Mytilus edulis: one gene and its partners. The protein of the gene in region 2 binds, or shares a complex with, the protein of the main gene of each other region. Links are inferred from orthologs where the notes say so. Each region holds a gene or a part of one and is shown on either strand. Other genes may lie near its edges.

Region 1 (6,926 bases), on a different chromosome or scaffold from region 2:
GGCCTTGGAATTATATACAGAACGCCCAGAGAGTATGTAATCGCGAACTCTAATCACCGATTTCAGAGTGTAGCGGTGTGACACCGCGAATCACGGATTATACTCCCATTTTCCTCCAAAGATTCTCTCCCAACACCGTGTGGCTGTTTATTGGTTTATTGCCCATCAGATGTACTGAAAATTAATGAGTTGACGCGTGACAACATCATCGGATTAGCCAGATTTATTACCTTTGTACATTTAATCGATCTTGATTGCACCTGAGTGATTTAAAATACGTTATTTAAATGTCCTTTCATTGTCAGATAAAAGTGTGACATTTTTATTTAAAATAAGATAATTATTCTTGTATGTATATGCCCATGTCATTGTCATATGACATACAACGTGCAAACGTATAAATATACGATTAAAACACTTATTTTGTATTTTCATTATAGTCCGATCAGGTCATAATTTTGTTTTTTCAACAAAGACGATTTTACCACAATTAGAACCTTTTATGACCTACTCAGTGAGCAACATTCGGTTCATTAATAGTTCAATATTATATAATTAATATCAACTGGCTTAAAACAAAATGATGTTTTTTACGGTAATATGTCCAATCTAAATTAAACCCAAGAGTTAATTTATCGGATCAACAAGTGAACTCTGTTACAATTTATTTTGAAACGTAAAATATTATGTTTCACTACCTCGGTAGATTACCGACTTGAAATATTTGAATTTAAAAAAGAAACTGTAAAGTGACAAATAGTTTTGTATGCAATGTGGCAGCCCTATATTCATAAATACTGAGATACATTCGCCGCCCAGACACAACACAATAATCACAACCTTTAAATATTTAATTATATGGAGAGAAAAAATCATGTTTTTTATCCGTTATGATCTGTTATTGATCTTTAATTATTTAAAATAAAATTGGATTGGCGCAATCCGTATTTTACAGCTCGTTTAAAAGTCCTCGGCGAAATATAAAAAGAAGTATTTCAACAATTATAAAATAGAATATTTAAATGAAATTATATCGTGTTCTACAAGAAAGAAATATGTAAAAAAAAAATGTGGAGCGGATTTTTACGATCGGCAAATTTTCACAGAGGATCTCTACCAACGCCCATCAGGAACTGAACGACATGCATCCTGTTTTCATCTACCATTAATATATAGTGTTGACTATGGACGTATAAATAATGTCCGGTTTTATGTCCTCTGTTGACTGAGAAACGTAAAAATAAAAGGCTGATGTTGGTTAATTCAGAAAAGGAATACAATTTAGAATCCGGTTAATCAATTGTAAAAGTACCTTCTAGAGCCTCAATCTTAACGCACACAAATTTATGTCAATCATTACAAAGCTAGTTTAAACCTTGAATGAATTTTCCCACGGTTATCCAGAAAGGTCACCTGAGTTTACTGTTACATGATACTATTTCCCGCCAAATAAAAATCTTGTGGACAAAATTGATGTCACTATTTTTAGCATTCAATATTGTGAGCAAAGTCAAGTTCAAGTTCAACTACGCACTGTTGATCACTGAGATGCGTGTCTTCCCACGGCAATTAATTGCTTTAAAAATATTTAAAGATCACTGTTCTAAATACAACACAAAAGTTTACATTCATTGTGCGTAAATGAATATTATGCAACGACGAGTTGATGCAGCTATAGAAGTATTCCTGTTGTAGCCGAAATGTTTTATTTATCCTAAAGTAATGCTAACAAATCGTGAAGAGAAAATGCCGTAGACTTCTTAAGCATAAGGAATGGTGAAAAGTATTTTCTTTTTTTCTTGCATATACAAGTTTTAAGACACGTAATTTTCTTTCTTTCTCACATTTTATACCTTCAGCGTTAATTTCCGTTTATTTTCACGCAAGTACACAATGAAGTATGTCTCTTTTCATAAGTTATATAAATTACCGATAAAAAAAAAACCGAGGTCATAATCAAGTATAGATTTTTTTTTATAAAACTTTAATGAAATTGAAAGCATTTAATAACAACAACCTTTTGCTTTTTAAAACTTTTATTTTGTAATCGTAAAATGGAAATGGCGTAGACTTATTAGCATAACAGATAGTGAATAATATTTTCTTTTTTTATACTTGTATAAAAAACTTTGAGACGTGTCACTTTTCTTTAAACTACCCTAATTTATTCAGCGTTAGTCTCCGTTTATTGTTACACAATTATATCTCTTTTAGTAAATTAAATATTTATTTACTGATAAAAAAACGAAAGTCAAAATCAATTTGATTTAGATGTACAGAGTAATTAAAAGAATTAACAACAACGTTTTGATTTTTATTTTAATCTTTTATTTGTTTCAAGCAATCAGATATAAACTGATAATCAATAGACAGGAAATACAATTGTTTAATTACATTAGAAATCTCGCATACCTTGACTGTCGCGTGCCGGCATAGATCAGAAGGATTAGGGCAATTTATTACCTGGTGTGACACTGCGTCACTCCAGACTGGGAGAGATGTCGCTAATACAATAAACAAAAGGTAACGGATTTATGCGGAAGTCGGAGGGAATACTCCCAAATTTCTCCGAGAATTTAGGGAGTGATGTCGGAGTTTCCTGGTGTCACACCAGGAAAAAACTCGGTGTATGGAGTTTGGGATGGCTTTCGCGAAAATTGAACTGTACATTGTAAATCGGATATCAATTTGTTCATTTTTCATTTATGTAAGCTTCACATACCTCTCACCTTTTATTTTCTCATAATTAGACAGTTTTTACAGTGACCAGGTGAACCATCGATTCAGACATTTTTACTTTTATTTTCAAAAGGACATCAAGTTACGAGAAACTTCACGACCTATAGACTCAAATATGCAAATATTTATACGTTTTCGTGGTCACATGATAATCTCTGAAAATGAATGTCAAAATGCAGAAATCGATGGGTCACTGTGAGAACTGTTTAAATATGGAAAAACTAAGTGTGGCAGGTAGGTGAAGCTTACATAAATGAAGAGATAAATGAAAAATGAACAAATTGATACCCGATTTATATAATACTAAGGCCGTTAGTTGGCACCAGAAGCGACGACGCAGCGCATCTATTTTGGACAGGCAAATATCCACTTTTTAATATGGGACGAGCTCTGACGTCCCAAGGCCCTATCTTGTCTGGTAAAACAGTCTTTGGACGTCAGGGTAATCTCGGACTAAGATAGAGGGTAAAGAAGAGCTGACCAAGCACGTCTGCTCAGTTGTATGACTGAGACATCACCATTGAAATGACGTCAATAGGTATCTCTTTCTTTCTCTGAATAAAAGCTAGAATTTGTATCATCAACTTATACATAGAGATAGTAAGATACAGAATGAGGTATGATTATCTTTTATAATGTATATTTTTTGTTTACGTGAAAAGCAAAGCGGTTGAACGATTTGAAATATAGCTATAACTTAATTGGCAGATATCATTAGACAGGCATCTTATAATGTATCGTACTAGTGGGCTTTAATACAAGTTTAACAGAAGTCTACTGCTGGAAGGGGGGCAGCAGTCGGGTCAGTTTGCTTACCGAACGTTGCAGTTCTCCGAGCCAAACTGATGCTCTTTCCTTTCCATTTACGTCTGGATTTTGATAAAGGGCTTGGAGAGCTTGATAAACCGTCTCTAAAGACGGTTCACTATTCATTGCTGTATATTTCAGGAATTGTCACTTGAAATTTCAGCAAGAGCACTGACCGGAAGTAAGTTATTCACCAAGTCATTCCCGCACTTTTGAAAAAAATAAAATAGAATTACAACACACATATAATATTTGTGGTCAAAAACAGATATTATAAAGTTAAGTGAAATATAAAATTAGTTTAAATATTTATTTTATTATTTAATTGTCATTTCTTATTCACCCCGTAATCGAAAATTTACTTCCGGTTTCACTTTGCCAAAAAAAAAAATACAACCCATACCACCTGACTGCCAAACAAATTGATATTCCACTCCATAATGGATTCAGATGGATTGCCTCTTGTAGGACCTGGTGTTGATTATACAAAGGTGTCTTAAAGAAATCATTTGTCATACATACTCACAAATTTACTGTCATTTAGTGCCAATGACAGTTGAGCTAAATAAAATCAGTGTTCAGTTAATAAATAAAAAAATCTTTCATTTAATCAGATATCAGGCTATTAGGTTGAAGAAGTTGCTTCCCCGTAAGTAACTTTATTTTTCCCTTTAGTGGGGGATCCTCCCTGGTCAACCAGTTAAGACAAACTCTATATATCATTATATCCAGTAGTCCGAGATTACTCAGACGTCCAACGGCTGTTTTGCCAGACAAGCTGGGGTCGTCGGATGTCAAAACTCGTCCCATATCAAAAAGTGGATATTTGCCTGTCCAAAATAGATGCGCTGCTTCGTCGCTTCTGGTGCTAACTAACAGCCTTGGAATTATATAAATAGGGTATCAATTTGTTCATTTTTCATTTATCTCTTCATTTATGTAAGCTTCACCTACCTGCCACACTTTGTTTTTCCATATTTAAACAGTTTTCACAGCTTGTCTGGCAAAACAGCCGTTTGCCATCAGAGTAATCTCAAGACTATATTTCCAGAGATCTAATTATATATATAACTAACAATATTTGCATATTATAACAATAAAAGTGTATGTAATGTTCATCAAATGTCAGTGTATACGTGTTGGTTAACAGTAAAGAAAGAATGTAAAAGTAGAAGTGAGTGTTTACTGATTATGAGTAGCCAGAAAAGGTCATATGTAAAAAAAACACTCATCCCTTAAACCCTTACAATACTCTCTATAAATCAAAAAAATATTTCACACATAAGGGGAAACAAACATTCATTTTTCAATGGTCTCAAGAGGTGTACATATCCAAATCATATTCATGATATTTGGAACTTCATTGAGATGTGAAGAAAATAAAAGTGCCTATAGTTCATGTTTCATTTAAAACATTATTTTTTTCAAAATCCCTTGTCAAACATTGTTCCTTTTGTAAAACATGTTAAAAACATATGAGGGGAAACCAATCTTTCAAGGCTCAGCTCCGTCATTAGATCTAAATGACATGTTTTTAATTGCACCTGTATATAAATTAAATTGCACCTATTCTTTATTCAAAAATTATTTATGCGCTCACTCCAGCGGTAGTACATTTCAATGTCATTTGGACATCTTGTTACAGAAGCGTAGCTAGAAGAAAACGATGTGCAAGCAACTACGGCTAAAAAAAATTTGGACCCTTTAATGCAGAAATTTTTTTTTCGGTTTTCGGTCATAGGACGGTTTAGAGAGGAGCTACATGTAGATAGGACTTATAAACAATTTATGAACGTAAACCTATTAATACTTGAATCTTCTGAATAGAGTAAATCATGGTTAATTTAATACATAAACAACACATTTTTGAATTACAGAATTTACTCAAGATTGACCAAAATCTGCTCTTCGGGTCTAAGCAGAAACGAACTTCTCTATTACTTTGTCAACATTCACCCTGAAATCCCGATCAATATGCAGTAATGCTAGCGATGATAACCTGTCGTTGTTCATTGTTGATCTTACATTTGTTTTCAATAGACTTAATACACTGATAGATCTGCATGGTAGCACTTGCGAGATGTTATAAACCAACATACGTGTTCTCAATCGAGCGACCTCCAGATTGAAATTGTCCGCCAAATACATGCCAGGTCATTTTGTATGTCTCAGACAATGTTGAGAATTATTCATTGGTTATATTTCCTACAACACGAGGAAGCAGATACGACACAAAGAAGCTTTTTTCTGATAATACCAGACACCCTCTACTCTCCAATTCCATTATCATATGGTCTACGTGTGTGAACGCAAAATATAATGAGACTTTCCAATGCTGTTTTGGCGTGTTTTCAGGGTGATTGGCTCTGGTAGTCTGTCGAATACATCGCCTCGGCATATTTTCAATAATATCAAAGGGTTTCGATAAATCTAATGGTCGATTGGTACATCGCATCGCAAACAGATACCTTACTTTGTAAAATGTACTCCAAAACTACACGTCTTAGACTGAGTATAATAAATTCAAATCTGGTAAAAGATACAAGTTACTGTCCGATTTTTACATGATCTCCAATAAAACGTTTGTTTTGAAATGCCGTTATTTAATGACAGTTCATCATTTAAAAAAGTGACAACGTATGTGTTTCCTTTTAGCTTTAACCATAATTAATTTATAAATTTTTATTTTGGCATTTTTTTTTTTGCTTGCTGAATCAATGTGCACGCAATTGCGTGTTAGCGTATAGGGAGCTATGCGCCTGATGTATATATATTTCTTAAATCATATACAGAAATATAGACGACTTTTTTTATATTGAATTTTTCATAACATCTTTACATTTGTATAAACAGCATGTGGAGATTCTTATTTTAAAACATATAGAAGACTTTGTACTGATATATTTGTTGTATATTAAGAGAAGAATACTTTTTAAAAAAGAATACTTTTTGTTTTCTTTCAGGTGGAAGCTATTCAGCAGAAGAGAATTGTTGCATTTATAAACCATTTTGTTACACATACAGCTAAATTTCTCAACAGATTTTCTTCTGTGTGTGAAGAAAAGTTAGAACATATGTCAAATAGAATTCAGGAATTGGAAGTATCAATGAATTTATTAGAGGCCAAGGTTTGTCTTTTACTCCTTAGTGGTCTGGTGTGCAAGAGGTATTTGGGTGTGTCAAAGAAAGATTTTGAATTTGTTTTTACTGCTCTTTAATTAGGATGCATCATTAAGGAGTAAGAGCAGTGGGTGGTCTCCTTGGAGCCAGAACAATGTGTCCAGCTTAGGTGATGTGTCTTCCTGCAGATTTTTACCTGGTTATTTATCTCATTGATAATCCGACTCAGTGTGTCCATCTAGTTCAAAACAGGATTATAT
Region 2 (7,243 bases):
TATAGCTTTAGTGTCAACAGTCAATTTTTTTTATATTTATTTCACTATTCACCGCTTCAATTTGAATAATGAAACATAAACTATTTCATTATTCATTATTCATTTTTTAATATTGAATAGTGAATAGTGAACTATTTCATTATTCATTATTGAATAATGAATAATGAACTATGAATAATAGACGTACTTCAGCGCGGTGTTTTATTTGGAGATGTGCATTCCAAAGGAACACTGTCTTTAGATGGATATTCTCCTTGTTTTCATAAAAAGAAAATAACACCACGTTAATATTGTCCAGGGCCTAATACTTTTAAACTATATTGTTGGTTGAAAGCTACTTCTAGATCGCTTACAATTAATTAAGCTAGATCTGATATTATTGATGAGCTATATTATTATTGTATTATTCTCTGCTATCAGCATTTTGTCACATTGTGTCATACATTATGTATTTCCATAGCATGTCCTGTATGCTTTTAAAAATAAAATATTGATTCAATATGTTTGTTCCAGAAATGTTTGATGTTGTTGCGACTCCCATGTACTTAGTAAAGTCAACTGTTTCATTCATTGTACTGCCGTGCAACAAGTAGTTGGTAGGTTCGACTTTTTTGAGCAACACGACGGGTGTCACGTGTGGAGCAGGATCTGCTTACTCTTCCAAAGCACATGAGATCCCCCCAGTTTTTTAGTCTTTAGTTTTCTATATTGTTTCCTGTGTACTTTTATTTATCTGTTGTTTTTTGTCCTTTTTTTTAGCCTTGGCGTTATCAGTTTAATTTCGATCTATGAGTTTGAATGTCCCTCTGGTATAATGGCGTTATCAGTTTAATTTCGATCTATGAGTTTGAATGTCCCTCTGGTATAATGGCGTTATCAGATTAATTTCGATCTATGAGTTTGAATGTCCCTCTGGTATAATGGCGTTATCAGTTTAATTTCGATCTATGAGTTTGAATGTCCCTCTGGTATAATGGCGTTATCAGTTTAATTTCGATCTATGAGTTTGAATGTCCCTCTGGTATAATGGCGTTATCAGTTTAATTTCGATCTATGAGTTTGAATGTCCCTCTGGTATAATGGCGTTATCAGTTTAATTTCGATCTATGAGTTTGAATGTCTCTCTGGTATAATGGCGTTATCAGTTTAATTTCGATCTATGAGTTTGAATGTCCCTCTGGTATAATGGCGTTATCAGTTTAATTTCGATCTATGAGTTTGAATGTCCCTCTGGTATAATGGCGTTATCAGTTTAATTTCGATCTATGAGTTTGAATGTCCCTCTGGTATAATGGCGTTATCAGTTTAATTTCGATCTATGAGTTTGAATGTCCCTCTGGTATAATGGCGTTATCAGTTTAATTTCGATCTATGAGTTTGAATGTCCCTCTGGTATAATGGCGTTATCAGTTTAATTTCGATCTATGAGTTTGAATGTCCCTCTGGTATATTACGCCCCTCTTTTTAAATATTTTTGTCTTACAAAGTTTGAAATGATGGACGTTAGACTAGCAAGACGCGTTAATTTTGGAAATGTATTTTCGTAAGAATGAAAACGAAACATGTCGATAAAAATTTTAAGATTAAAAGACTCTGCAGTAAAATGTTCAATGCACTACACCCTTCAGAAGTTAATATATTTTTTTCGCTGACTATCATAATATTTATAAATTCAAATCAAATCACATCACCGCATATCTCCCGGCTCCATGATTGGCAATATAAAAAAGAAGATGTGGTATGATTACCAATGAGACAACTGTCCACAAGAGACTAAAATGACACAGACATTAACAACTATAGGTCACCGTACGGCCTTCAACAATTAGCAAAGCCCGTACCGCATAGTCAGCTATAAAAGGCCCCGATAAGACAATGTAAAACAATTCAAACGAGAAACTAACGGCCTTATTAGATGCAGATGTAATGAATTTTGACTGTGATCTTTTGCACAGGACCACTAGAAAAAGTCATGACTTACAATTGCCAAATTTACCGAATACAAGCAAAGGGAAAATTTGAGCTTTGACTTAAAACTTTAAGGGCGCACATTTGTGTAAAAACTTACAAATTACGATCCTGAAATAATTGTCGGTAGGAAAAATTGTATCATATTTTCAAGAAAAAAGATTGATTGATTGATTGTTGGTTGCTTAACGTCCAGTGGCAAATATTTCATGCATATTCAGGACGAGAAAAAGATCACAATAAATACTATAGGTAGGTCTTGAAATAAAAGAGGCCATCTGGGATGATGGTCGGGGAAATTTGGACTGCCACTGTAAAATGAGGGTATATTTGATAGGGACAGAAATTTTGCCTTGCAACAGGCCACCTACGGGCCCCTCAAAGAGTTGTTGCAAGGGTTCTTAACGTACAAAGAGCGTGGCACTCTCCTTACATGAGGCATCGGATTTAACGTCCCCAGTCTGACCGGACATGACTGCGAACTTGATACATCCCGCACAGCTAAACGGAGGCCCCACTTCGGCAAGCGTTTTACTGCCGGTCGGAAGAAGACCAAGTGACCATATTTCTATTCCCCAGTCACCCTTGAAAGAAAGGAAGGACAGAACATAAAACTGGTATATAAAAACTCCATATAAACAATGTTTTATTCAAATCAAGAGGGGCTGTTGAATCACGATTCACAAGAGGTTAATGCAAAAACTTAATATTGTCCCATGAAATGTAAATAGGACTAAATGATAAAAGCACAGATTTTTTTAACAGCATGTTAGATTGACGAATCTATTGATATATAAATTATGTTTTTTTTAGTCAATTGTTAACCAAGATAAAAGCCAGAATACTATAATAAGTTAGACAAAACTTTGATTTTGATAAATATACGGATGTTTATTTTTGTTTTCCATAACTATTTGTTTTCTATATATATATTTATGATAAATAAAATATTGATCACTAGGGAACGCCTTTGTATCGCAATGATATAAAAATATCATTAGAATTTGGAAATTGATCAAATTGTTAAGGATTACTACAGTCTTAGGTCAATAGTGTGTCACCCCTAAACCCCACTAGCTTATATTCCATATAATGACAACATTTTAATAAAAATGTTGTCAAAACTAATATGAGGTCCCATTTTGATGAAATTGTAATGTAAAACTTGTAAATGTAAATAGGTTTTGTGCTAATTAATTATGAAATATGTGTTTGACATATCCATGAAAAGAACTTGAACTGCAGCATTTTTGTATTTAATAATTGAAATTATTCGTATTGATCAGACACGAAATTGTGATCTTCACCATGCTCACTGAGTAGACTGTTTTATTAAAAAAATGTGTTTTAGGCAGCAACCATATCAAGTTAACTTCAAAGGGGGTAGGTTTTTTTCTGTCGTCATAATTTTTTCCCGTGCGAAACCTCAAGTTTTCACATGCAAAATCTGGACCTATTATTTAATATACACTAAGAATAATATAATAGTCCCAGTCAAAATAAAGCCCTATAAAGTCACTGAAATCAGAAAATCTTAAGAATGTGTCTATTTCAAAGGAAAACTTTGTTATGAAGAAATAAAAGATGATATTAGTTGTTTAAACTTGTGACATGTCACGGTAAAACTGCGTGTTGTCGTACATGCGAGATTCCTTATCCTAAAATTGAGAATGGAAATGTGGAATGTGTCAAAGAGACAAATCAAGTTATCAACTTGAACAAAACTTATGATATTTTAAAAATTAATAATTTAATTTTGAATGTAACGCGTCTTCTGATTGGCTGACGTTATTTTGTTATGAGCCCATAGACATTTAGTCATGTGACCGTGACGTCATCAACGTTTTTTCATGGTTTTCTACGGTTAAAATGGAATGTAGAATTAAATTATAAGAAATGACTGTAATATTTTTTCTGTCTATTCGAAATAACATAAAAAATTCGGTGCACCCTGTTAAATAACCCGCTACTCGCGTTATTCAGATCTATTCAGTGTGCATCAAATTTTTTATGTTATTCATGTCTTCATACTGACAGAAAAAATATTACATTCATTCCTTAAATAACCAAACATAACAAATTTAATCTATTTGAATTATGTTCGGTTGAAACAAAGAAATATAAAAAGTTATGGCAAGAGACTTTTTGCTGAAAGAGGACGCAGACATATTCGAGTTAACAGTGGTATCTTGGACCATGGTGGTCCGTGTAATTAGGAGGAAGATACACTGGGGACTGGAGAATATGTACTTTAAAGGGAGATAATTTACTGTGATCATGTGACAGACCACAGGAAATGGAAAAATACAAATAGATGAACACCCACATTTAATCATTAATACATCAAAATAATATTATAATGGAACCAGAGGTAAACAAAAAATATGAGGAAACATTAGTATCAATATGTAAACACTGACATTGCACCGATCATATTTTAAGGTTCATAAATCAACTGTTAACATCATGAACATGGTCAGATTTTGTTGACATTGTAAAATTATATCCACAAAAACTTTATTACAAATGATCACAATACACATCCATAGGTTTAAACTTACATCCTAGTTAAAAGGAATAATCATGAACTTGATGAATTTAACCTTTAAACTGGGAAATATTTATAACTTTCATTTTCAAATACAACTAATCATCATCTTCTATACTATTAAACGAGAAGACCTCATTTTTGGTGTCGCTTCTCTTCTTTCCACAATAAATTAATCAACACGACTCTGTGTCCTATATGTACAGTGCATAGTCGCATTTGTCATCCATTCATATGATTATTCAGATTGAGTTATTTTGGGAGAAAAACGAGAAAAAAGGCATCCGGATATTGTCCCGTCATTGGACGAAATTTTAAGTCAGATTATACTTCTGGTTTGCGTTTTTCTGTATACTTTGAACAAACAAATAGTACGAATAAAGTGTATTTTAATTCTGTTCAGAGTTTATTAAATGGAGAGGGTCTGTATATTATGTCAATTGACCACCATGGATCGATTACTAAACTAAGAATTGAAAGTAAATACACTTTATTTATATAGTAATATACAGATAAGCGCTAAAATTATTCATGTAACCTTTTGATACCTTTTCTGAAATTCTCCATTCATTAAATATTTTACAAAATTCATTGATTACAAAAAAAAAAAAGATGTGGTATGATTGCCATGTTGAGACAACTCTCCACAAGAGACCAAAATGACACAGAAATTAACGACTATAGGTCACCGTACGGCCTACAACAACGAGCAAAACCCATACCGCATACTCAGCTTTAAAAGGCCCCGAAATGACGATGTAAAAAAATTCAAACGAGAAAAATAGCGGCCTTATTTATTTACAGCTAGCGGCCTTATTTATGTACAAAAAAGGAACAAAAAACAAATATGTAACACACAAACAAACGACAACCACTGAACTACAGGCTCCTTACTTAAATGTTCATAACATACTAAATGTATGTTCATATTGAAATTGAGAGAAAACCAAAAATTGGGAATTTTTAAAATGAAGGAGGAGGTATAAAACTTCTAACAACACTTTACATACTTTTAACTCCGCTCTGAATGCCCGCGATTTCGCAGGTGTGTTCTAGTGATCATGTTAATTGTCTAACTCTTTATGTATCATGATCATGTATATCACTGAATTCATTTTTTTCTACCAAATGTTACAATCATAATCATCAAACAAAACATTCTAAAATAAACAATACAGAAAAAAATCTGGAAGTATTTTAATACATATTTTTTGACATTTAACAGACATGTCATGTATGTATGGTAGGTCTTTTCACCACCGAACACCCCAAAAGTTTATTGTTTTGTCTTGTCAACGTATATTTGTTCCTAATAATATTTGTTCCTGATGGAAACAATATTATAATAATATTTGTTCTGCGGAAATTGTGTCATGGAAAACTTTTTCCATCTGTATTATATTTGTTCCACTGATAATAGGAACTTATCTTATATATTGATGAGTATAACAAATGTTCCTATTATGCTGAAGTTTAGTTTACACCTGATTGATTATTATATAAATTAAAACAGGTTTTAAATGCTGATTATAATCTTAATCAAAACAGGTTTTAAATGCTAATTATAGGATTACATGTAAAAAGAAAAGTGTTAATGAGTTGGATATATATATTCGGCTGTACACCACCTTTTTTATACTGAAACACAGAGGCTGATGAGTATGAGAAAACATTTATGTTCTTTTAAAAATGCATATGTCCAGTAATTGTGGATAATTCACAACTAATTGTTTAATATCTTCAAGATCAGGAACAATTATTTTCCATATTCACGATACCTGTTCAGATAATAATTGTAAATACCAATTTACCAATCCGGCATTATTAATGGATAGAATATAATAATATTTTTGAGTCGGAAAAGATATTATATAATATATATTGCAATGCATAATATTTTTTCCAATCGGAATAATGACTACATAAGATTTTTTTTCATTTTAATGAGTGATATGTCAGAATGATAAAAGTCAAAATGATCAAAGTCAAACTGTTATACAAGTCATAAGATGAATTTTCTACCATAATTTTTATTCCAAAGATAATTTATTTAAGGAATGACTATAATATTTTTTCTGTCTATGAAGAAATAACATAAAAAATTTGGTGCACACTGAATAACGCGCATAGCGGGTTATTTAACAGTGTGCACCACATTTTTTATGTTATTTCGAATAGACAGAAAAAATATTACAGTCATTTCTTATAATTTAATTCTAAATTCCATTTTAAACTGTAGAAAACCATGAAAAAACGTTGATGACGTTACGGTCACATGACTAAAGTATGTCTATGGGCTCATAACAAAATAACGTCAGCCAATCAGAAGATGCGTTACATCTTAAATTAAATCATTATGTTATAAAACATCCTATTGGAATTTATTTTACATGATAAAAATTCTGAGGCATTGGTCCTTTTATTATGCTTATGGAATAAATATCACATAACAATAATTCCAATTGGAACTTTTGTTACATAATAAATTATCTTTGGAATAAATATTATGATGGAACTAATATTCTGTGACAGTTTTAATTGTTATCAATTTGACTTAAATATAATATTCAAGTTATTATTAATTCAACAAATCAAACAAAAAAGAGTTCAAATATCTACAGAGAACAGAAAGGAAGAGTCTATAACACCCACTTTTTGAATTCCGCAGACCCCCATGGATACCTCAAATATATTTTTTTCCATTTTTTTTCTTCTATCATGTCTGTC
Region 3 (7,654 bases), on a different chromosome or scaffold from region 2:
TTATTGTGTATGGGAAGAATGAAAATCTGTACGAGTCTTTTGATGTATAAATATGTCTGAAGGTGTGAGAATGATGTTTTCTGGTTCTTGAGTCTGATGGAATGAGAATTGTGCTAGATGGTATAGCAACAAGTTGATGTGTGATCTTGTACATCATAACCAGTCGTGCACGCAGTCTGCGTTGTGTCAAAATAGGCCAGTTTAGTGTGTTCAGCATGTTTGATACACTACTAGTATTATGATACCTGTTGCAGGCATACCTAGCAGCTCGCCTTTGGACCATCTCTATCTTTGAAATAGATTCTGAAGTGTGGGGGTCCCAAACTGAGCAAGAGTATTCGAGTTTGGGACGGACAAGTGCTTGGTATGCCTGGCTCTTGATGTTTTGGTTTGATGTTTTTAGATTTCTTCGAAGGAAGCCGAGAGTTTTGTTGGCCTTTGATATATTGTCATCTATGTGTTTGTCCCATTTAAGGTTTGATTGTAATGTGATGCCTAAGTACTTAGCAGATGTAACAGATTCTAGTATATGATTGTGGAGAGTGTAATTATGTTTTAAAGGTTGACGTTTAGTTGTTACAGAGAGAACATTACACTTGTCTGGGTGGAAGGCCATCAGCCAGTCCTCTTCCCATTTTGTAGCTGCGTCAAGGTCAGCTTGCAGTTTTAGGCAGTCACTCTGGGATTTAACTGGCATGTATAAGATACTGTCATCAGCAAATAGTCTTAGTTTGCTATGTGTAAGGTAGTCTGGAAGGTCGTTGATATACGCCAAGAATAAGACAGGACCTAAGACAGTACCTTGAGGAACCCCAGAGGTGACTGGGACTGTGCTTGATGATCTTCCATCCAGAACAACTGTCTGGGTTCGATCAGAGAGAAATGCAGAGATCCAATTTAAAGTGTTTCCATTAATGCCAAAATAGTGTAATTTGTATAGTAAGTGACGATGCGGAACTTTATCAAAGGCTTTCGCAAAGTCCATTATTACAAGGTCTGTTTGTGTATTTGAATTGTTTGTGGATTGAAGTTCTTGAATGAAGGAGAGAAGTTGTGTCTCACAAGAACGAGAGTGCCGAAAGCCATGTTGAAGGTCGTACAAGATGTTATTTGATTCGAGATGTTTCATAATGTGTGATGTTACTATGTGTTCCATTAACTTGCAGCAAATACAAGTTAATGAAATAGGTCTATAATTGACCGGTTTATGCTTATCCCCTTTTTTATATGCTGGTGCGACTCTAGCGTGTTTCCAGTCGTTAGGTGTAATACCAGTGTTGTATGATTTGTTAAAAATTAAGCATAGTATTGGTGCAATTTCTGTCTTCATTTCTTTCAGTAAGCGGCCACTGATGTTATCTGGGCCGGTGGCTTTATGTGGGTTGATCTTATTTAAGAGTTTTTCGATCCCATTTGGTGTTATATGTAATTCGCTGATATTAGGATGTGAACTGATGCCTTTGTTTGGTATTGGGTCATCTGTAACTGGGGTAAATACAGATTGAAATTGTTCGTTTAAGAGATTTGCTTTCTCTGTGGCGTCTGTAATGATGTTGCCGTCTTTCTTTAGTGCAGAGATACCAGATTTGTCAGTTCTTATTGACTTGATGTATTGAAAGAGTTTCTTAGGTTTGCTCTGATTTTGTATTTGAATGTCTGGTTCATTAATTGGAAGATCACATATAAGTTTTTCAATATATTCCCAGTAGGCTTTCCTTTGATCTTTTTGTACCTGAGCTTTCATCTTTTTATATTTCTCCGTGTATTCGCTGTTTTTTCGCTTTTTGTAAAGTTTGTTTTTCTTGTTAATTTGTCGTCTTAATTTATCAGATATCCACGGTAATCGATGTTTGTTTCGTAGGATTTTTGATGGAATGTGTTTTTCGACAGAGCTGATGAGTTTGGTTTTAAATAGTTCCCATAGCTCATTGGTGTTAAGAGAATCATAGTTGTCAATGATTGATTTGTAGATGGTACTTATGTCAAGTTTAATTTCGTCCCAGTTGGCTTTGTTATACTTGTATACTTTTTGTGGGGTTTCTCTTATTCTCTTAAGCCAGATGTCTGCTTCGACATAGACAATATCATGGTCGCTTGAACCTATTGGTGGTAGTGTGGTTACTTTGTTGATGTATGTTGGGTTATTAATCATTATTAGATCTAGTATGCGATCATTTCTTGTTGGTGTATTGACAACTTGATGTAGGTTTGTGTCATTCATTATATCTAAGAGATTTTGGTGAAGTTGTATGTCAGGTTTGCCTGGTATTGTGCTTGATGTTGACCAATCAATATGTCCCAAGTTAAAATCACCCCCCACAATAATAGTTGCATTTGATTGACTATTGATACGATTTAGAGATTGATGGAGTTGCTCTAGTGACAAACCTGTATCAGATGGTGGTCTGTAATAGGATGATATTAAGATGTTTTTTGAGCCAGCAATATTGATTTCTGCCCAGACTACTTCACATTCAGTTTCTAGTTCTTTTACCTCTGAACTTATGAATTCTTTTGTGATTGCTATAAGTACACCCCCATAGCTTTGGTTGTTGGTACTTGGTGCCCTGTCATTGCGATACACATTATATAAATCTGATGGAAAGTACTCATAAGAAGAGGTGTTTGGTTCTAACCATGTTTCGGTACCTAGTATGATATCTGGTTTGACAGTATCAATGATTTCTAGTAGGTCCTGTTTTTTGTTTTTAATATTCTTTATAGATAATCTCAAACAACGCAGTTCAAAACACAATTTTAAAAAATCATGGTGCTCAGTGAAAAGGGGCGTGTAAAGTGTGCTTATGAATAATGGTTTTTTATTTACCTTTTCCAGATACTATGGTTTGAATATTTTCAACATGAATTACATAATTAGAATGTGAAAATGCATTAACAGTATCATATTGTCAAATCACATAATTTGGGCTAAAGCTTCAAAATGTTTTCGGCTTGTCTACTTGATCACGAGAAAAAGTTATCGATGAGAACTTCGTCAGTTCCGCCTCTATATTCGTGACGTAGAACACATAATAAGATGTATCAATATTTCAAACACTAGCTTTTCCAAAAGCTTGTCCAAGTATAACATTTATTGAGAAGAATTTTATTAGTTTAAAATCCATGCAATAGGATTATTGTTATATTATCGTTTATTAGACTCCACCTGGTAAAATGTCTCATGATTTGAAAATTAATTTAACGATGTTACAAATTGTAGTACTGAAAATACTGAACATCGGATGACCACAAGTTCTTGTGAATGGTCACAAGCACTTGTCCATCAGAAAAAAATCACATCTCTATAGATGAAAGCAGAGACATACAATACAATTGTATTATGTGTCTCTGCTGAAAATGAGGTTAATGTACAAAGATGTATTTTTTTCTGAGACAAGACAGTCGTGCGTTGATGATGAATAAATGGCAGAGAATTCAACCTCACCATTATTCTATTATATTGTAGTGATACAGATCAGTATACTGGTTTGTTCTTATTTACAGTAATGTAGTACTAGTTTATTTATATTTGTACATGTATATACCAGTTACATCAAGGATTTGTATAGGTCTTAATTACTAGGCTATACAAATCCTTGGTTATGATGTATATATAATGTTCATCCATGATATCATCCTATTATACTATTCTAATAATCGCAGTGCAAGTATTTCAGTGAATGTTGGATACTCTCCTGTTATAATGCGATTCTTATAATAAATTTGATTTGATTAGGAACGTTCATATTTTCACGCAAACTTTCTTATATTCTAATATTCGAGTCGTCTCGAAATATACGTATGTTGACACTATATTGCTTGTAGGTACACAGATGTTCCGTTTGTACGCATTAAAATGTTTTGGCACAGATTAATTAAAAAAAAAAACAACAGTAAATTGAATAGGTAACTATTTATGGTCAATTGCATGATTTTTATTCAAGAATCGAGAGAAATGACGAACAATATATATTAATAGTTCTTCAACAAAAGGAAATAAGAATGCCACGTAAAATATAAATGTGCTGCAACCTAAAAAAAAAAAAAGAAGAAGAAGAAAGAGCGCTTGTTTATACATTCAACGTTTTTAAATGGCTTCTACTCCCGGCTTCTACTTAGTAAGTCTTTTGAATGGACTTAAAATTATCAACAAGTCAATATCTCAATAACATCAGATCAATCGATTCTGTTCTGGACAAACCAATTAATGTCTATTCTGTTTCAAATTCATCTTGCATGTAGTCTGTAGACATATGTAACTGTAAATAGGAATCTAAATTTGTTCGTGAAGACACTGGATAAAAAGCATGAAAAACATAAACAATTCCGTAACTTGACAGTTCACGTCATGGATCTATTTTTTAATTGATTGAAGAAAAGTTAACCTGGCCTTTAAATTGATAGTTGATGTTTTAAACTTCCTGGCCGTTTAACATGAATAATTTGGAATGTATTATTAGTTATAATCAAAAGTAATGGTTTTTGATTCAATATGGATTTTGTTTATTCAGGGTAAGAGTTAAATTTTCCAATTTCAAGTTTAGAACAGACATGCATGTCCAAACGTTTTTATCTCAACAGTTTGATTCATTCATATTTTCGAAATTCAAAAGAAACCAACGGAACACCATATCTTAATAATGTTTCTTAAAATGCCGACAAAATAAATTCGGAGAACTTTTTGAAATTCTAGAGTGTTCTACAAGTCAAGTCTAACATGTATGATGAGTTAGGAATAATTTATTATAATAGTTATTGACCCTTAAGCGTTACTTTATTTTTTTTTAATATTTTGAAATGCTTTATATGTTTATTGCAACGATCTGTTAAAAAGATATATGAGAAATTACCATAATTATATCATGAATACATTATATATCTTTAAACATGTATCTATAATTATTCTCGTTGTTGTGCATGTAACCATAGCGCAGTAATTGCGTACCTTTAAAGTAAATATTTTGATAAAAGGTTAAACAAATCTTTTAATATTCATTCATCTGAAACATTTTTATAATGCAACTTCATATCTTTTAAAACAAATCTACAGTGTGTTTAAAGTAAACATTTTAAAAGCACAATAATATGGCATACTTAATCAGTATATATTTAATATCATTGTATAGGAAAGATTTTTAACCGAGTGCTTCGGTACTGACATACATTACGAAATACCTTTAATGAATTACTCATTGATTAATTGGGAAATAAGTAAGAAACTTAGCTTCAAATTGACTCAGGAAAATTTGATTTCAGGTAGACTTGGCAATTCTCTATAGGTCTTAAATGAGGGCCCTCATGGGGTTTTTGATTATGTGATTACTTGGCCGTTTTTTTAATGATTATTTGATTATTAAGCCAAATATTTCATGATTATTTGATTACCTAGGACTGTATTTTTAGTTTATGATTATTTGACTACTAAAGATAAGCAAATATTTAATGATTATGTGATTATATTGGCAAAAAAAAAGGTGATTATGTGATTACTAGGACCCCTCATGAGGGGCCTCTTAAATCAAGTAATCGGACGAATATATTTATAAAGTGTTATTCAATAATTCGTAGCTTCTGTAGGTTTAGGGATGTTTAGAACTTGGCATAATTATTGAACGAAGTCGATGCAGACCCTCTCAACTCTAAACATCTGCTTATTCAATACTTTGTCCTTAAATGCTTGAGAATGAGTAGGATGTCATTTTCGGCATGATTAATTACATATGACTCTAAAAACAATATGGGACGGATATAGTCATCTCTGCGGTTACTGTTTTGATTGTAAGAATCATTTTTTTTTGCAAAAAATGAAACTGGCAATACTCAATAAAATATGAGTTCGAAGCGCTTCTATAGATTTACATTCGACAGGAACACTCAATGCAAAATATTTGAAAGCCAAAAGGATGTATAATACCGAAACAGTCGAAGAGACATCTGACCAAAAAAGGATATAAAATATTAGCAAAAATAAATCTAAAGTTAACTTTGCTTAAGGTGTCGAAACCTTACTAGATTCTTAATAATTTTTGCTTAATTTAATCACCTTTTCAAATATATCAAGGTTTGTTTTAATGGCGAAAACCATGCGGCCCTCCATCCTCCTTAGATCTTTTAGGGAAATATGATAAGGTTTATCTGATACTGTTTTGTCTGCCAATCTATACATGTCAAAACAAAAAAAATGAAAGTAAAATTGAAAGTAATCTCTGTATATGTTTCAGTACTTCCGGTGTTTGGTGGTTGTTACTACCACTACCAATACGAATACCATGAATGTAATACTGATGTGTAAGTATTCATTAACATACACAAGAATTATCACAGATAATACATATGCATAAGGAATACAAATGAAAAGAATATTTTTTATATATTTTACTTTTCATGTTAATAAAATTGAGAATGGAAATGGGGAATGTGTCAAAGGGACAACAACCCGACCAAAGAGTAGACAACAGCCGAAGGTCACCAATGCAGCGTGAACCTATTAGAAAACATTTATGAAACCTATTTTTCATTTTTTTTTATGAAAACATAGAGGTTATCTCTTGAATTATAATTATATTCAAAGACACAATATTTTCACACACGATTTAAATGCAAATGTATATGAAAAAAACAAGAACATATGTGTTGCTCAGAAAACCGAAACATGAACCTAAGAGTCGCCCTCAATGAAACCAAGGACTTATTCTTTTGAACTGACATTTCTTTTTTTCTATAAATAATGCTTTATCCCACAACTTACACGGATTCTTTTAAGAAAAGTTATCGCTTCGACACACACATCAGACATAAAAAAAATGTCTATAGACTGCTCATTCGATATTCTCTATTTAATATATCTGAATTTTGAAATCGAAAATTGAAATCCACGATCTTAAGTCGAACTTCAGAATAACATATTTCAATAGCAAAAGTGCCCAATCAGGATAAGCCCTTTATTTCCGAGGTTGTAATGTCCGTTTCCAATTTAGTCTTACCCAATACATTGTGCAGATAAATTTAATATTTAAATCAGATCTATAGCCTTTACTAATACAACAAACATGATTTCATTTACTTTTTATTTCATTATGTTTAGAGGAACTATCATTGGTGCAATTATTGGTGCTTTGTTTGGAGTAGCCGTTATAGGGGCTATTATCACCACAATATGTTGTTGTGTTAAAACCAGTGGTATTCGTGGTCACGTGATACAACCAGACACTTTATCAAAACTAAATCAACATCAACATCAACACACGCTACAACAGCAGCGTAAGTAAAAACAAATGATATAATAAGAATCATCATTTTCATGGTTTTACATAGTCTCAACATAATAACGTTACAACCATATTTTTTTTATCAAACAAACTGCATGTTAGGTAAATGTCAAAGAGAGGCGAAAGATTCAAACTCATTGGCAGAAAATAAACGCAATGTTATAATTTCTCATTGTTGAAGACCAAACGGTTGCCTTTAATTGCTTACAACAACTTCATTTGAACATTGGTGTCTACAATAGTTAGTCATGTACTTCAAATTGACTTCGGCATGGCTAAATAAGAAAAATGACAAACAGACAAACAGACAAGCAACAGAACATACACCACAACATAGACAACTTAAAAGAAGCAATACGAACTACCCCGAAAACTTAGGATGATCT
Region 4 (7,654 bases), on a different chromosome or scaffold from region 2:
TGTAGCTTCAATCTTAAATGAAATCATGTAAATGTGTTAGAGCAAGCAAATAGAACTTTGAAAGTTTTAAAATAAAAGTCATGATATAAAAAATTATTTAATATAAACTTACAGCCAATTGCAAGTACTTTTAGAAATGAAAACATTATTTTCCATTGTATTGTAACTTATCACTACAAAGATAAATATCAAACCTCAAAACTGTTTAATATTTTTTTATTATACATAGTACCTCATCCATCAAGGATACATGTACCAATTTATATATGGTTATCCAGGTGTACTTACTTTGTCAAATCTATTATATATTTATGTACACTAGAAAAAGCTTGATAAAATCTTGTCAGAATTTCAATGTTATTTTCCCTGAATTCTTCATCCAAATCTTGAAGTTCCTGAAAGAAGAAGAAAACAAACTTTACTTTTCGGACCGAAACCGGTCAAGCTATGAAACATCACCAGGCGCTGTGTATTGGCATATACATGTACTATATTTTTATGCTTTCATATTTTCCCCTGCACCTAATTAATATGGCTTATACTAACGAAAGCTCCATTTGGAGTTAATGTGTTCAGATTAATTATGTCAGTAAACTTTTCCTTTATTGCTAATACTTTTGCAAGAAATCAAGGGCAATTCCTTTCAAATAAAGGCACAAACTCTGATATGGTATAATACATTTTTGCAATAAATAATTAGTACATAATGCCATTTGGATGATGAAATGCCATTTGGATGAAGAAATGGTCAGCTGTATACATGTTTATATAGATATTAGTATATCGTTTTTGTAACATCTGTTAAAATTGTCTTCACTTTTTAGAGTTGTACCAGTTCATATTGCACATAACTATTTTTATTTGAAGCATATCTTTGCTGTCTCTGTTGTAAATACATTGTAGCTATATAACCTACATCATGTTTAATAAATTTTAGAGTTGTACACGGGCATGTCTCTATTATGTTCAGATTTGACTGTTTCATTGTATAAATTTCAAGATTGTTCTAGTTTTATAATCAGAATTGATTGATACAATGTATGATTCTTTTACATCGTGATCTTACTAATAATATATCTGTTATTGCTCATTTTATTGTTATTTTTGGTGATGTTGTACCCTTTTAGACTTGTTATATATTATATTTTGTAGTGTGCTGTATCATAATTATATGATCCATTGCCCCTTAAGATTTATAGTTGGCTTTTTTCAGTCACTTGATATTTTATAATTTATAAATATATATATATATACAATGTACATGTATTTGAATGTATTTAGTGCATTTTCAGACAGATCTTTTCTTCCCTATTTTATGCACAGCTAGGTCAAATTTTATAACTTTTCAAGAAGTCTAAACAAGTGACAACTCTATGACAGATCCATCCATAGGATCATCATTGAAGGTGATACACAGCTGAAAACACATATTTATTCTAATTACTCTAAATACATGAAATATTAGCACAACCATGACAACAATGTTAAATCTGTAAATTCGCTGGGATTCAAAGTCATGCTATAGGGATATCTGGACAACACTACCTGCACTGTGTCCAAAGCTCAAGACCACTCAGCCACCTAGATGAAACTAATAATTCAGCTTTTAGTGGGCTAGTGTTACCTTTCCTCGTCAGTACTGAGTAGAATCTAGAGTTGTAACACAGTACATAATATATTAGACATGAAGATTGAATTGTTTGCAGATTAGCTAAATTTCTATTGTAAATGATCATTATATAAAAGTATACAATGTACTGTATAGAAAAACAATTTCTTGTCTCAAATTTTTTAAATTTGAGACAAGTGGGTCATGATGCGTATTAGTTTCTCCATAGGCGGTAATAGTTACGTTTTCTTCTGTTGCTCAGTCCATTTCGTTAACTTGGATATGTGTGATGGCTCGTTTCGAAGCTGAGACATTTTGACATATGTGGTTAAATTTTCGGGGTACAAAGTGAGATTACTTTTTCCGTAAATTAGCAAACCCTGAGTATCCTTTTGTGATGCGGCTCCTCAAGGTAAAAAATCCCATTTTTAACACAATAATTTCTATGAAAATTAAATACTTTGAACACATTTAATGACTCCATAGATTTTACAAATTTATTCTGTGTTCCCCTTCTTTCTTAATTAACACAAATGGTTAAGTTCAGTCATTTGTTTATCATAAGAAGTGTCAAATATCACTACACAGAGATTTTTTGTTTACACATGACTTTTGAGTTCCTCATTTCAAGGTGCTTTAGTAATATTGTCCCAAGTGCTGTGGCCTAATAAATGCCTAAAATTATCCAAAAAAGTAAGGCAAGTTGGTCTGGAGCGATTTGGCAATGGGGTGAGTTGTCATAGATTTGCATAGAATTAATTTATTAAAAGTGGTCACATACAATAAAGCATATATCTGTTTATTTTGTAAACAATTTACAAGGTAGGCCTAAATGATTATTTCCAATATCTTACCACTTTGGATTCAATCTTATTGTCAAAGTATTCTGCATTTCTAAAGTAACTGAAATCACTAATAATGTCAGCATATTTAACTTTTTCGTGTTGATTTTCCTGTCTAAAAACTGGTGGTATTACTTCTGAAAGTCTCAATAATTCAGCAAGTATTGCATTTCCCCTTGACACAAGGCGTAAAATATTTTGACCACACTGGTTATTTTCTGCAAGGAAATCAGCCATTGCTTGTTTCTGTAATGTTAGTTTGTGCTAAAGACAAGTCGAATCTAAACTCAAATCAGAAAAAAAACATCAGAAGTTACGCCCACTCTGCCAGGCACTCATGAACATGTGACAACCCTCAACCAACTTCAATTATCCTCAGGGTAAGTGCATCTGAATGCTACCGTAACTTATTTTTTCAATATAAAATGTTGTCTACTCAAACAGAAACTTGTGTTTCTACTCTTCACAGCACACTTTCCTTGTCCATTTTGGTGTAAAGAGCAGACAGATAGTCAACATCCGGAAACAGCCACAGCGACACCTATTATCATTAGTAAATTGAGTAAAGTCAATAACCGACCAGAAATCATATACAACAACGCACAGCAAAGGACACAAATATTCAATGTACACATTGTGACCCATGTTTTTAAAGAAAGAGCAAGCACAAAGTAAAAATGACAACAAATAATACAAGAAGAAAATAGAAAATATTAAATTATAGAGAATAATAATGGAGAAAATACAATCTGCAAAAATATTAAATAACTGTAACCAAAATAAATCATATCAAATGACCAATACTCGAAAAGAAAAACCTGACATTTTCCACTAGTAAAAAATTTAAATCTGATTTATACTAGTAGGAATTTTAATGTCACCTTACAAGTAAAGATAAGCACATTCCGACTTTCAAAGAGAATCCTGAAATGCAAAAATTAGATTAACATGAAGTTATTATAATTACAATTGTGGTTAATCATCTGATTGAAGCATACGACTAACTCAATAGGAAAACCTGAAAGATTTTTGACATGATAAGATAGCTGTGAAAATGTGCTATGAGAAAAAAAATGAAAAAATATAGGGTCACCGTACGGTTTGGCTACATAAAATAATGTAAACTTACATTACATAATACTATGCTATCTTAGTTATTTCCCTGATATCACATTTTTGTTTCAAATTCACATCGTTTGAAAAGATTTTGTTTAATTTTTCTTTTATTAAAATTCTCATATTTGATAGATAACCTACTAAAACGTATATCCAAATAATAAAGGGTCTAAACTAATAAATGATTTACAATGTATGGACTCGATAATATGTATCAGCATTTCGTGTGTACTTTAGTCTAGACGACATATAATTAACCATCAAGAAGACTGCTGACGAAAACCTGACATAAACATAAATATAGCTATAATACATTGATAGCGAACACGTGCAATTGGATTTTTCTAGGGTCTGTTTGATTTCATATTATAGGACCTATGCTATAGGTTAAAAACATATGTTAATCGTCGTTAAACAACGAGGAAGTACGTTCACAATGGGTGCCATATATGGAGCAGGATCTGCCTTCCCTTCCGGAGCACCTGATATCCGAATGGCCCCAGTGCAGTTTTTGGTGGTTCGTGTTGCTTAGTCTTTAGTTTGTTTGATTGTGTCTTGTGTACTTGTCTGCTTGTCTTTTTTTCTTCTTTTTAAGCCATGTCGTTGTCAGTTTGTTTTCTATCTATGAGTTTGAATGTCCCTCTGGTATCTTTAACCACTCTTTTCTTACGCTGTATAAGAATGAGATTTTGTATCGAATCCGTCGACAAATTCTTTACCCTTTTATCCTTTTAATAGCTGACCAAGCCTTGTTAATGCGTAACCCATCGCTAGCTAAGGAGTTAAATGTAAGATCACATGCATACGGATTCAATTAGGTAGAATTATTCACTTGCAAGTAAATAATTAATCAGCGATATTTCTTAGCTTATTTTGACCTAATATAACCAAACTGGCTGCTTAAGGCGAATTATTATTTCACTGTTTAATTTTCAAGAATGATTGAAAAAAAAATCTCCGTAGTTAATGCCCCTATAATATAAGATATATTCCTTTAAAAATCTTCAATTTAATGAAGTCTTACAAATAAATACTAATTATGCATCAAATACTAATTTCAAGCTGTTAAAATCTAGACAAATCATTTTCAGCCATTTACAATTAGATATTTTAACTGACTAAAACTGACTTCCAATCTACCTAAATCTGTGTTTAGTTTATTTTCTCCTGAAATTAGAAAACAATGAGAAATAAAATTGAGAATGGAAATGGGGAATGTGCCAAAGAGACAACAACCCGACCATAGAAAAAGCAACAGCAGAAGGTCACCAACAGGTCTTCAATGTAGCGAGAAATTCCCGCACCCGGAGGCGTCCTTCAGCTGGCCCCTAAACAAATATATACTAGTTCCGTGATAATGAACGCCATACTAATTTCCAAATTGTACACAAGAAACTAAAATTAAGATAATACAAGACTAACAAAGGCCAGAGGCTCCTGACTTGGGACAGGCGCAAAAATGCGGCGGGGTTAAATATGTTTGTGAGATCTCAACCCTCCCCCTATACCTCTAGCCAATGTAGAAAAGTAAACGTAAAACAATACGCACATTAAAATTCAGTCCAAGAGAAGTCCGAGTCTGATGCCAGAAGATGTAACCAAAGAAAATAAACAAGATGACAATAATACATAAATAACAACAGACTACTAGCAGTTAACTGACATGCCAGCTCCAGACTTCAATTAAACTGACTGAAAGATTATGATTTCATCATATGAACATCAGGCACAATCCTTCCCGTTAGGGGTTTAGTATCATGCCATCATAACATATATGAGAAGAACATAACCCGTGTCATGCCAACAACTGGTTTTTGAATAAATGTGTTTAGTTCCGATGCAAAGACCCTATAAGTGAATCAATATTAACGCCAAAATATGCAATCTTTAATGACCTGACAACAGTATTGTAACTATATACCTTCTTAATAAGTCTATTCAAAGGTTTTGTTAGTTTTTGAGGTGAATACTGACACCTTTGTGCTTTATAAAGAATATTTCCATAAAAAATTGGATGTGAAATACCTGAACGTATAAGAAGTCTGCATGTTGAGCTATATTTACGAATGATGTCCTTATACCGATGATAAAATTTAGTAAATGTTTTGACTAGTTTGTGATATCAAAAAACCCTGGTGTAATAATTTTTCAGTAATACATAAAGTTCTCTCGTTAAAATCTAAAACATTGTTACATACACGAGCGAATCGTACAAGTTGAGATATATAAACACCGTAAGATGGTGACAAGGGAACGTCACCATCTAAAAATGGATAATTAACGATAGGAAATGAAAAATCATCTCTTTTACCATAAATTTTAGTATTCAGCTTTCTGTTAGTGATATAGATATCAAGATGAGAATGAGAAAGTATGCAAAAATAAATTATTCTTTACATAAGTCGGAAACATCCTTTCGGAAAAAGAAACATTATAACTTTAAGTTGGAAAATTAGTTTACAAGGTTTACAAATCTAATAAATTAGACTTTAAAACAGTGCAACACGCTTGCATTATTCAAAATATTAACGATATCAAAATGCATTTATAAGATTTCCTCTATAAAGGATCATATTTTACAAATCATTATTCAGAGTATAATCCTGTTGACGTTCGTGTTCTTAAAATCAATTCCACAGACTATCAGTAAATTCACAGAGTCAAGCATGTACAAAATAAACTTGGGTGATGATTGTCATTAGGTTTCCGTCTGTAATTGTGCAGGAAAATGTAATATTCTTCCTTGCTAATGTCGTAAAGCCAACAATGTTTGTTCAACAAGATGTCATCAACAAATTATTAACAAACTTGGTTATTAATAAACTGGGGTTTTTTTCGAAGAAGAAAGTATACGTTATAGATGCACATCTGTTTTGTCAGAATTAGTTTGTAGCTGTATTTTAGGTTAAAGTAGTAAAAGAACACTAAGAACTGGTAAATATCGGTAGTTAGATGGTGTGATTTTAAAGTTAGTCAATCTTGGACGTCATTATCAAGTAAATGAATGTCGAATATATTATGTTATGTCCTTTCATGTGTCATTAAAGTGCAACATACTAGTAGCATTATACACATTCTAAGTCTTACTATATGTCATGCTCGTACTTATTTTCTAGTTTTGACTTTGATCTTTGTATTATTGTAACCGAATGTTATAATTCTCTTGGCTGAGGCGCCTTCAAAATGTAAGTTACTAACATCGAAATATAGATATACTGATATATTGAAACTACATTGTATCTAATAAGAATTAAGCTTCAGATATAATAAAGATTATTGGATTTCAAATTAATTCATATAATTTTTCGTACATAAATGACAGTGAATTATAAGCCTCTAAAGGCTGGTTGGTATAAATATACATTCCTCATTTCATGCATTCTCAATGTTATGTAAATTGACTGCTCATGTTTAAAATTGTAATATATTGAATTTCATGTATAAGTACCAAGTTGTACTTTAAAATCAAAATATATATTTATCTATCAATAGAAGACAGTTCAGGAACAAGATAAATTTGAAGATAACAGACATATCTGCTGACAACTAACAAAACAGACAAACGCTCGTTTTAACGGAGTACAATACTGTGCTCTGGGTGGTAGGTTCTTCCCAGTGTTTCGATAAACGAACCAGAGCTCCCTTTTCATCCCCTTTCTACCCAAAAGCACAATAAGTCGACTCTAGGTTGACGAGTTATGAATATACATATTCTCATTTGTTGTTATCTCACTAACAGAGCATTCTAGGAAGAATAACTACAATTTTCCTAACTAGCAAGGTCGCCATAAATAATTGATTGATTATTTTAAAACAGTTTCTCAGATTCCCAACTAACATGTGACATTTGTATGATCCAACATATTCACGAATACTTACATCTAACATTAATGCCGATGTGGTGATAGTCCTGACATTGAGAATTACTATTTGAAATGACTTTGTGTGGTGGATGATGCATGCATAGCAGGGAATGTTTTACGTGTCTTTGCACCTGGCACAAACTATGTACTCCCAAGTACTGAATTAAGTTATATGACCTAAGGCCTGATCTGGTTCCGTTAATTATAGGTTCGCTATATTCCAC

The links.
Region 1: WASH complex subunit 2-like (region 2) and WASH complex subunit 3-like share a complex: the UniProt entries of both Drosophila melanogaster proteins name them as parts of the WASH complex. The link is inferred for Mytilus edulis from reciprocal best matches to the Drosophila melanogaster genes FAM21 and CCDC53.
Region 3: WASH complex subunit 2-like (region 2) and WASH complex subunit 1-like share a complex: the UniProt entries of both Drosophila melanogaster proteins name them as parts of the WASH complex. The link is inferred for Mytilus edulis from reciprocal best matches to the Drosophila melanogaster genes FAM21 and wash.
Region 4: WASH complex subunit 2-like (region 2) and WASH complex subunit 5-like share a complex: the UniProt entries of both Drosophila melanogaster proteins name them as parts of the WASH complex. The link is inferred for Mytilus edulis from reciprocal best matches to the Drosophila melanogaster genes FAM21 and Strump.

What each region holds. Positions count from the first base shown.
Region 1 is NC_092353.1:26,958,050-26,964,975, forward strand, and holds the start of WASH complex subunit 3-like, read left to right. Parts: upstream 1-3,898; 5' UTR 3,899-3,986; coding exon 3,987-4,037; intron 4,038-6,509; coding exon 6,510-6,674; intron 6,675-6,926. Other genes in the region: transportin-3-like, read right to left, coding at 3,556-3,672. UniProt on the Drosophila melanogaster protein: Acts at least in part as component of the WASH complex which may regulate wash nucleation-promoting factor (NPF) activity and is required for its membrane targeting during endosomal sorting.
Region 2 is NC_092355.1:16,253,658-16,260,900, forward strand, and holds the start of WASH complex subunit 2-like, read left to right. Parts: upstream 1-4,216; 5' UTR 4,217-4,327; coding exon 4,328-4,339; intron 4,340-7,243. UniProt on the Drosophila melanogaster protein: Acts at least in part as component of the WASH complex which may regulate wash nucleation-promoting factor (NPF) activity and is required for its membrane targeting during endosomal sorting.
Region 3 is NC_092344.1:31,573,189-31,580,842, forward strand, and holds the start of WASH complex subunit 1-like, read right to left. Parts: upstream 3,018-7,654; 5' UTR 2,828-3,017; intron 1-2,827. Other genes in the region: uncharacterized protein, read left to right, coding at 4,476-4,512, 6,222-6,288, 7,085-7,260. UniProt on the Drosophila melanogaster protein: Acts as a nucleation-promoting factor by activating the Arp2/3 complex to induce actin polymerization. Participates in both linear- and branched-actin networks.
Region 4 is NC_092344.1:109,308,170-109,315,823, forward strand, and holds the start of WASH complex subunit 5-like, read right to left. Parts: upstream 3,016-7,654; 5' UTR 2,689-3,015; coding exon 2,464-2,688; intron 396-2,463; coding exon 289-395; intron 1-288. UniProt on the Drosophila melanogaster protein: Acts at least in part as component of the WASH complex which may regulate wash nucleation-promoting factor (NPF) activity and is required for its membrane targeting during endosomal sorting.